Macaca mulatta: one gene and its partner. The protein of the gene in region 2 interacts with the protein of the main gene of each other region in a biochemical or structural test. Links are inferred from orthologs where the notes say so. Each region holds a gene or a part of one and is shown on either strand. Other genes may lie near its edges.

Region 1 (4,985 bases), on a different chromosome or scaffold from region 2:
AGAAAACAGACTCACAGCCATTAGAAACCTGCTGAACTGCTAGTCAGGAAAGGTGGAGATAGAGCTGGAACTTAGATTAGTTTGGCACAAAGCCTGTGTTCTTTCCACTGCCTCTGTGAGGTCTAACAATATATTCAACCAGAGAATAGAAATTATCAAGTATGCAGGAGGATCATGGAGAGTGAAGGGCAAGTTGTTTTTTCTTTTTGTTTTTTGATGGAATCTCGCATTGTTGCCTGGGCTAGAGCAATGGTGCGATCTCGGCTCACTCCAACCTCCGCCTCCAAGTAGCGGGGATTACAGGCACCCACAACCATGCCCGGCTAATTTTTGCTATTTTTTAGTAGAGACAGGGTTTCACTATGTTGGCCAGGCTGGTCTCAAACTCCTGACCTTGTGATCTGCCTACCTTGGTCTCCCAAAGTGTTGGGATTACAGGTGTGAGCCACCATGCTCAGCCTGTGAAGGGCAAGTTTCTAAAAACCGCCAAGAATCACGAAGACAGAGAGGCTATTTATACCTGGTTTCCATTAGACAGGAACAGAGAAAAAGAGAAAAAGCTTAGGCTGATCATTACCTCCTCTGATCTGATCAGGGACTGAAGAAACTTCTGATACGGTAACTGGTAAATCCACTCCTGGGGAACCATGATGATGTACACAAGGAGGGCTCCTTTCAGAAAGACACAATATGGAAAGTAAATTGAAAAGACACTTATGGCATTAGTGGAGAAATAGTAAACACAGCACAGCAGTGCCAAATTCTCTACAGAGGCTTCACATTTCTGATCTAAATCACATGTCTGGATTTAGCGTTCCGTCATAAGGGCTACATTGTACCCCGTTTTCCTCTTTAGCCACAGCCAAGCTAGAAATGTTGGCTTCAGTCTGTTCATGTCCCTACCTACATCAAGTGGTGTCAATAAATGGAAATGTCTAGCTTTTGGGGAGAATGGTTTACATTATAGGCAAGGCTCCAGCATTTTCCCTACTATTAGGATAAGAATGATTCAGATAGATTCACCAGGGAATTGAAAACAATTTGTTTGGTTTTTTAGTGTTTTTTCCCATAATGGATTTAACTTCCTAATTATGGCTGTTTGGGTAGAGTTTTTGCTGCCTTTACTGAAGAGTCAATAAAACAAGGAGGGAAGGTCCAGGGATGTTTGTGTTTACAAACTGGCTCTCAGCCAGGCACAGTGGCTCACATCTGTAATCCCAGCATTTTGGGAGACCCAGGCGGGTGGATTGCTTGAGGCTGGAGTTCACGACCAGCCTGGGCGCATGGCAAAACCCCACTTCTACAATAAATACAAAAATCAGCTGGGTATCATGGCCCATGCCTACAGTCCCAGCTACTCAGGGGGCTGAGGTGGGAGGATTGCTTGAGCCTCAGAGGCAGAGGTGGCAGTGAGCCAAGATTGTGCCACAGAACTCCAGTCTGGGCAACAGTGAGACCCTGTCTCAAAAACAACAACAACAACAACAACAACAAAAAAACAAACAAAAAACAAAACCAGCTCTCAGTAATCAAAATATAAGCAGACAGACTATACTCAGATAATTTAAGGCCAACTAAAACAAATATTTCTTTAAATCCAGAATCCACAAATACTGGGAAATACAACCTTTATTCATCTAAATTCAGACTTTACTATGGAAAATAGTCTCTTCCCATACTGAGGAAAAAACAGGTTTTTGAGATCAGGTCGGTTCCTCTCACTCTTTATTTCACCTCTGAAGAACACCCCAGCTGAGGCGGCTGTGAGTGGTACCTGGGCAGTGGCGGTGGAAGCTCCACTACCTCTGGGATTAGGGGCACTGTTTCCAGAGTCTGTGAGGACGTGAGGATGTCACTTATGCTGTGCTCCTGTGGCTGGTTCTCCCCTCCAGGAAGTCTCTCCCCAGCCTCAGCTGGTTCCTGCCCAGCCTCAACCCCAGGCTCGCCTTCAGCACCTCGCTCCAGGCCTGGCTGTGAGAGTGCAGAGCTGTACATGGAATCCCCCAGGGGGCGGCTGGTATCAAAGCACTCAGGCAGGATGATGATGTAATCCTCTGAGGAAGCAGAGGACTGACTCTGAACTTCATCTTTGAGCTCCTCCTCCTCCTCCTCTTCCTCCTCCTCCTCCATGACAGCTTCTTCCTCAGTGATATGGACAATCTCCTCCCTCTCATCTCCAAGTGGTCCTTCCTCAGGCAAGGCAAATTTCACTAAAGGATGAAAGCAACCAATTTTAAGGTGGAAGCTAAAAGCAGGCCTAAGTACTATCCTTACTTGGTAAAGCCTTGTGGATCATGAGATAGAATTATGAAAGCCAGAGGAGAGGGAAGAACTAGCGAGAAGGGCTGGTTCTGGAACTATGACCACATTCTAAGGTTGAAGACTATGCAAAACAAAATAGAATCAAAGCTCACAGAAACAAGGTAGGCAGAAACACCCAGGCTTCCAAAAAGTTCTATGAATCACAAAAGGAGGCAGCTCCATCCCTTCCCTTTTCCTTTTCATGTGATGGTTAATACACTGAGGTAGAGTTTAAACCAAAATGGATACACTAACAATGCTATAAAAAGAGAAAAAGTTAGGAGACTAGTATTGCAGGATTACATGCCTATTCTCCTCCTCTTCTTTACAAAGATGATGCAATCATGGGAGAAAACTGGCCAATCATGTTTGAGGGGGTAAGAAAGGGTATAAAAAAGCTACCCAGGGGCTGGGCGCGGTGGCTCATGCTTGTAATCCCAGCACTTTGGGAGGCCGAGGTGGGCGGATCACAAGGTTGGAAGATCAAGGCCATCCTGGCTAACATGTTGAAATCCCATCTCTACTAAAAATACAAAAAAATTAGCCGGGTGTGGTGGCAGGCACCTGTAGTCCCAGCTACTCGGCTGGCTGAGGCAGGGGGATGGCATGAACCTGGGAAGTGGAGGTTGTAGTCAGCCGAGATTGCAACGCTGCACTCTAGCCTGGGTGACAGAGAGACTCTATCTCAAAAAAAAAAAAAAAAAAGCTATCCAGGCCAGGTGTGGTGGCTTACGCCTAAAATTCCAGCACCTGGGGAGGCCAAGGTGGGCAGACTGCTTGAGCTCAGGAGTTCGGGACCAGCCTGGGCAACGTGGCGAAATCCCATCTTTACAAAAAAAAAAATTTAGCTCAGTGTGGTGGCATGTGGCTGTGGTCCCAGTTGCTTGGGAAACTGAGGTGGGGGGAGCCCAGAATGTTGTGGCTGTAATGAGCCATAAACTTGCTACCCGCACTTCAGCCTGGGTGAGAGTGAGACTTTATCTCAAAAAAAAAAAAAAAAAAAAAGGCCGGGCGCGGTGGCTCAAGCCTGTAATCCCAGCACTTTGGGAGGCCGAGACGGGCGGATCACGAGGTCAGGAGATCGAGACCATCCTGGCTAACACGGTGAAACCCCGTCTCTACTAAAAAAATACAAAAAAACTAGCCGGGCGCGGTGGCAGGCGCCTGTAGTCCCAGCTACTCAGGAGGCTGAGGCAGGAGAATGGCGTGAACCCAGGAGGCGGAGCTTGCAGTGAGCTGAGATCCGGCCACTGCACTCCAGCCTGGGCGGCAGAGCGAGACTCCGTCTCAAAAAAAAAAAAAAAAATACCCATAAATCCTATCAGAATAACAGCTGTGAATATTTTGGTATTGTGTTTCCAGACCATTTTGTTATGTATTTGTACACACATGTGGAAAAACATATAAAGATATGCACAATTGATTGATTGCTTGATTGACTGATTAATTTGAGACAGTCTCACTCTGTTGCCCAGGCTGAAGTGCAATGGCTTGATCTTGGTTCAATGTAAGCTGCGCCTCCCGCGTTCACGCCATTCTCCTGCCTCAGCCTCCTGATTAGGTGGGACTACAGGCACCTGCCACCATGCCTGGCTTATTTTTTGTATTTTTAGTAGAGTAGGGGTTTCACTGTGCTAGGATGGTCTCGATCTCCGGACCTTGTGATCCACCCACCTCAGCCTCCCAAAGTGCTGGGATTACAGGCATGAGCCACTGTCTTATTATAATTTTTTTAGATGGAGTCTCGCTCTGTCACCCAGGCTGGAGTGCAGTGGCGCAATCTCGGTTCACTGCAACCTCTGCTTCCCAGGTTCAAACAATTCTCCTGCCTCAGCCTCTTGAGTAGCTGGATCACAGGTACACGCCACCACGCCCAGCTAATTTTTGTACTTTTAGTAGAGATGGGGTTTCACCCTGTTGGTCAGGCTGGTCTTGAACTCCTGAGCTCGTGATCTGCCCAACTCAGCCTCCCAAAGTGCTGGGATTACAGGCGTGAGCCACTGCGCCTGGCCTTACATGTGTATTTTAAACAAAAGTAAGATAAATAATATTTAAAGATATAGGTCAAATTTCATTATAATAGATAAAGAGATTCTCCAATATTATTTTGACACAGTATTATTTGAATTTTTGGATACTTCTTAAAATATATGCTATTGGTTCTATTTGATACCCAGAAGTTTCTGTTATAAAGGTATTTATTCCTTTTTCTTTTTTTTTGAGATGGAGTTTCACTCTTGTTGCCCAGGCTGGAGTACAACTGCACAATCTCAGCTAACCACAGCCTTTGCCTCCCGGGTTAAAGTGATTCTCCTGCCTCAGCCTCCCGAGTACCTGGGATTACAGGCATGTAATCCCTGGCATGTAGCCACCACGCCCGGCTAATTTTTTGTATTTTTAGTAGAGATGGGGTTTCTCCATGTTGGTCAGGCTGGTCTCGAACTCCCGACCTCAGGTGATCCACCCACCTCAGCCTCCTAAAAGTGCTGGGATTACAAGCGTGAGCCACTGTGCCCGGCCTATAAAGGCATTTATTACAGCAGAATTTAACCTTGAGAAACTTTGGTACTCCTGTTTCTATCCACTGTTTCTGGGACTGCTGCCCTTGGAGAAAGCAGACAACTCAGCTACCCAGAGGGGTCTTTGCTAAGGAGCTCTGTCAAATTACAGGAAGATTCCTTACT
Region 2 (4,985 bases):
AGAGCACCCAGGAGACCGGTCTTGCTTCTCAGACATCACACACACGGGGACCCTCCCCTCATGTCACTTGTTTTGCTGCCCTAAATGGCTTCTTCCACCCTAACCCCTGATCCCCTGATCCTGGAAGGCGGCAGAGAAACTGGCCCGTACAGAGACTTGCAATTCTACACTAGCTTAACAGCTACGAGACAGAAGAGGGGGACACAGAAGAGGTGGGTAAAAGCGGTCACAATGGCGGGGAGTGCTTTGAATACTGGATGGTGTCCAGAGCCGCCCCGATGTCGTAATTCTTGGTCTGCAGGAGCCTGGTGAGCCAGCCGCCTTCGTCAGAGAAGCCCATGGACAGCATCTGGGAGAGGGACTCAATCAGCCGCGGGTCAGCCTCTGCCAAAACAGTAAGGAAGCCATGAGGAGTGATGCTGAGCCCTGTGAGTGACCCGAAACACACACCCTCCTGCCTTGGCCAGCGGGACCAGGGCCTGCCAGTGTCCGAGTGCCCAGAGCTCTGGCCCTCACAGGCCACAGTGGACCTGCTTTCCCTGTAAAGGGCCAACCAGTCTTTTTCACACTGTTCAACTCTGCCACTGTGACACAAGGCAGCCAGGTGGCATGTAAACAAAACTATCGCTGGACACTGAAATACGCATTTCCTCTAACTGTCACATCTTTTGATTGAAAAATACAAGAACTACTCTTGGCCCATAGGCCATAGCTCGCCATCCCCTGCCCTAAGGCAGAGAAGACACACTGGCGGCGCACAGCAGGTTGTGCACAGACCTTGGTTTACACACGGCTGCAGTGACAATGAGGAGTCTCTGTCAGCTGTCCCCACCCCCCACCGCTGCCTTCCACACCATCCACTTCAACGGTGGCTTCTGCCTGGCTCTTCCAGGGATCTTGGCTATGACCCCCACTCAGACCAGCACTCCCTGAGGAGACACTGAAGAGGTCTGAGCCCAGTGTGAGTAGTAGGGACACACCCAGTGCTGCCCCCTCTCTGCGTCACACCTACCTTAATTCCTGGTCTGCATGTTAAGTTTTAGAAACTCCTACAATTAATATTCCTGGCTCTGGAGTTTGCTTAAAGAAAAACATTTTTAGAACTCCTGCATTAGCAGAGCTTACTCACTGCTGCTCAGGGTAGACGTAAGAGGACAAAACCAACTCCTAACCTCCCACACCTACAGACAAGCCCTGCAGTGGAGAACGTCCCATCCTGTTTGTGTCGCTGGAATCGGGGGGCAGGATGCTCTGAAGGGAAAGGTAGGACTGAACACAGAACTCTTGGTTCACTTGCCTGGTGGGAGATGCGGGTACAAGGCAGCTTCCTTCAGCCCTGTGGGTCCCTCCTGGGAGGGGTCCAGAGAGCTTGGCCCTTCGGATTCTGGCATCTGTAGGGACTGGAGTTCACCTGTGGACGGGTCCACTTCTTTTGAAGACAAATGGGTCCAGTCATCGTCTCCTCCTGAGCAGTTATCAGACTCCATCTGCTCCTGGAACAGAACTCACCATGAGCACACAAGAGACACGCGCAACAGGCCAAGCCTGACCATGGCACTGACTCCTGGCAAACAGTCGGGGAGCGTGCACGCACACATGTGTTTAAGGCTGCAGGGGGCTACGGGGATCAGTGAGCCACTCACAAAGACCAAGTAACTACAAAGTTCTAGCAGGTTCCCAGAGTGACTTTAATGGCACAGACATCACTGCAGCAGCAGCAGCTCCCTCAGGTTTCATAAGTGGCTGCATAGGTGCTGAGGATGAGGTGGAGGTGCAGCTACAAATCGCTAGGCTGCCCGAAGTCCCAGGTGGTGGGAGGGGCACAGGCTTGCCTCAGGCCGCCCCTCGGACTCCAAGGCGATCTTTCTCATCTGCTCTGCCAGAGACTGCGTGGCGCCCTCAACATTCCCACCCGGCTTGCTGGGGTCAGAGCAGCAGCTGCTTGGCTGTGAGCTGTTCTTCTCTGTGCTGGAACTCTCTGGAGAGGCAGGGGTCAGGCGGCTTCTTTTCCCGCCGTGCTCCACGTCAATATCCACTTCAATGCCTAGAGGCCGAGGAGGAGAGAGAAAGCTGTGACGCTCCCCCAAGGAGGCAGCTGCGAGCAGGAGTGTGGCCTGTGGGGACTACAGACTCACGATCTCACGTTCAGTCCACACAAGCAGGTGAGGGTCTGGATGGCGGCACTCAGTGTGTGGATGCAGGGGCTAGGTTCTCCTACCCAGCTTGACCCCGGAATCACACAGTCAGTATGGGACTAGACGATGCAAACGTGTGAGTCCGAGGCTTCTCCCAATATCCCAGCTACAAATCTCTGTGGCTTCTGGAAACATTCTCGGTGTGCCCGCGATACTGGAGCTTTCTCTTTCTCCAATTCAGTAAAACATTAACCTCAGCTAGCATCTAAGGTCAGCTTCTAAGCCAGAAAGTCAAGAGAGACCTTGTTTTTTCTAACCATGCAGGGTATGGGCTACACAGCAGGTAGGGCCAAGCCCTAAGTACGGGGGAGCCAACACTGCATGTGACGGGCACCTCCAGCCACAGTGATGGAAGGCTGTGTGTGCCTCATGACACTTGCACACAGAGGCTTTGGGTGATGACACAACACGCACCTAAACGCTGGGCTCCGCTCGGAGTGGACAGGCCATGCAGGCGAGGCATGGGGCCCGACGTGGCAGCGCAGGGAGCCTGCACACCTCCAGGCTCACGTAACTCACCAAGGACAGAGGAAAGAATCACCTGCACTATTCTGAAATTAAATAGTGTCAAAAGTCTCCATGCCCACAGCTTAGAGTCACCGGTTGTCAAAGGCTGTGGTGCACACACTGCTCCCATCCCACTCCCCAAAGCCTCCCTGCACCCTTTCAGCTCATGCTGCTCCCACCTGATGATCGAGTTCACACCTGTGCATGCTGCTCCCACCTGATGATCGAGTTCACACCTGTGCATGCTGCTCCCACCTGATGATCGAGTTCACACCTGTGCATGCTGCTCCCACCTGATGATCGAGTTCACACCTGTGCACTTCCTACTCTAGACCGGTATCTGCCTCTCCTTCCACTACCCTTTCCAAGACTCAGTTTTTTGTTAAAAGAACATTCAGTGTTTCAGCTAGTACCTCTATCTAAATGTTCTTTGCTGGGTCAAGGGGCAGACTATTTCCTTGCATAGCTTTTTGTTTTCCTACCACTGATGACGGCTTCTCTTTTTTTTTAGACGGAGTCTCGCTCTGACGCCCAGGCTGGAGTGCAGTGGCGCAATCTCTCGGCTCACCGCAACCTCCGCCCACCGGGTACAAGTGATTCTCCTGCCTCAGCCTCCAGAGTAGCTGGGAGTACAGGCACGTGCTACCATGCCCAGCTAATTTTTATATTTTTACTGTAGAGACGGGGTTTCACCATGTTGGCCAGGCTGGTCTTGAACTCCTGACCTCAGGTGATCCGCCCCCCAACATGCTGGGATTACCGACATGAGCCACCGCACCCAACCTGCCTTCTCTTTTCATTTGCTGACTTTCCCCATGTTCTCCCCACAGCATCTCCATAGTTTTCTACAAACTACAGACTATTGCTCAGAGGGTGAAGTGGATCCGAGGCCCCACTGGTTCTGGTGTTTTCCATAGAGAGTGTCCCCGGCTGTGCAGCCTCCTGTTCCAGCCAGGACTGGCGGCTCTCTGGGCAGAGGCTCTGCTGCACTGCTGTGACCACCTTTACTTTCACCCTCTGTCCTATTAGGTCCCCTGTTTCCTAATAGCTCTGTGCTTCATTTCGGGTTTATCTCTCCATGTGGTTCAAACCAAGGTTAAAATAATTAAGACTGTACACCAGAAAGTAACTTTGTTCTGCCCTGATACTTGATTGTTTTAGATGGTTATAGAACTCTAGGCTGGACCAGGCACAGTGGCTCACGCACATAATCCTAACACTTTGGGAGAACAACGTGGGAGATCTCTTGAGCCCAGGAGTTCAAAGTCGGCCTGGGCAGCATGGCAAGACCCCATCTCTACAAAATGTTTTTAAAACAGCTGGGCACAGGGCTGGGCGTGGTGGCTCACGCCTGTAATCCCAGCACTTTGGGAGGCCAAGGCAGGTGGATCATGAGGTCAGGAGTTCAAGACCAGCCTGGCCAAGATGGTGAAACCCCGTCTTTACTGAAAATATAAAAATTAGCCAGGTGTGGCGGCGGATGCCTGTCATCCCAGCTACTCGGGAGGCTGAGGCAGAAAACTGCTTGAACCCAGGAGGTGGAAATTGCAGTGAGCTGAAATCACGTCACTGCACTCCAGCCTGGGCGACAGCAAGACTCCGACTTGGGGGGGGGAAAAAAAAAAAAAAAAAAGAAAAAAGAAAAAAAAAATCTAGGTACAGTGGCACATGCCTGTAGTTCCAGCTACTTGGGAGGCTGAAGCAGAAGGATCACTTGAGCCCACGAGATCAAGACAGCTGTACCATTGCACTCCAACCCAGTTGACGGACCGTTTCACAAACAAGAGAATTCTAGGCTGAAAAGCCTTTTTAACTGATTTTTTTTTTTTTTTTTGACACGGAGTCTCACTCTGTCGCCCAGGCTGGAGTGCAGTGGCCGGATCTCAGCTCACTGCAAGCTCCGCCTCCCGGGTTCCCGCCATTCTCCTGCCTCAGCCTCCCGAGTAGCTGGGACTACAGACGCCCGCCACTAGGCCTGGCTAGTTTTTTTGTATTTTTTAGTAGAGACGGGGTTTCACCGTGTTAGCCAGGATGGTCTCGATCTCCTGACCTCGTGATCCGCCCGTCTTGGCCTCCCAAAGTGCTGGGATTACAGGCTTGAGCCACCACGCCCAGCTTTAACTGATTTTTTTGAGTCATCAGTTGTTCCACTGTCTCCTAGCTTTTCATGATTGTTTGCTCTTTGTATTCCCAAGTATTTACAATAACCTAAAATTTTAGAAGCCCCTCTTTATCCTCAGGGTTCTGACGCTGGACAGCGATAAGCTTTGCTGTGGGGTCTTT

The links. The genes of interacting proteins can lie anywhere in the genome.
Region 1: the proteins of SQSTM1 (region 2) and NBR1 form a complex in vitro, tested with the Homo sapiens proteins (3 studies listed by BioGRID). The link is inferred for Macaca mulatta from reciprocal best matches to the Homo sapiens genes SQSTM1 and NBR1.

What each region holds. Positions count from the first base shown.
Region 1 is NC_133421.1:67,535,591-67,540,575, reverse strand, and holds part of NBR1 (next to BRCA1 gene 1 protein), read right to left. Parts: intron 2,211-4,985; coding exon 1,775-2,210; intron 673-1,774; coding exon 578-672; intron 1-577. UniProt on the Homo sapiens protein: Ubiquitin-binding autophagy adapter that participates in different processes including host defense or intracellular homeostasis.
Region 2 is NC_133411.1:188,839,133-188,844,117, reverse strand, and holds part of SQSTM1 (sequestosome-1), read right to left. Parts: intron 2,045-4,985; coding exon 1,833-2,044; intron 1,494-1,832; coding exon 1,298-1,493; intron 385-1,297; coding exon 227-384; 3' UTR 1-226. UniProt on the Homo sapiens protein: Molecular adapter required for selective macroautophagy (aggrephagy) by acting as a bridge between polyubiquitinated proteins and autophagosomes.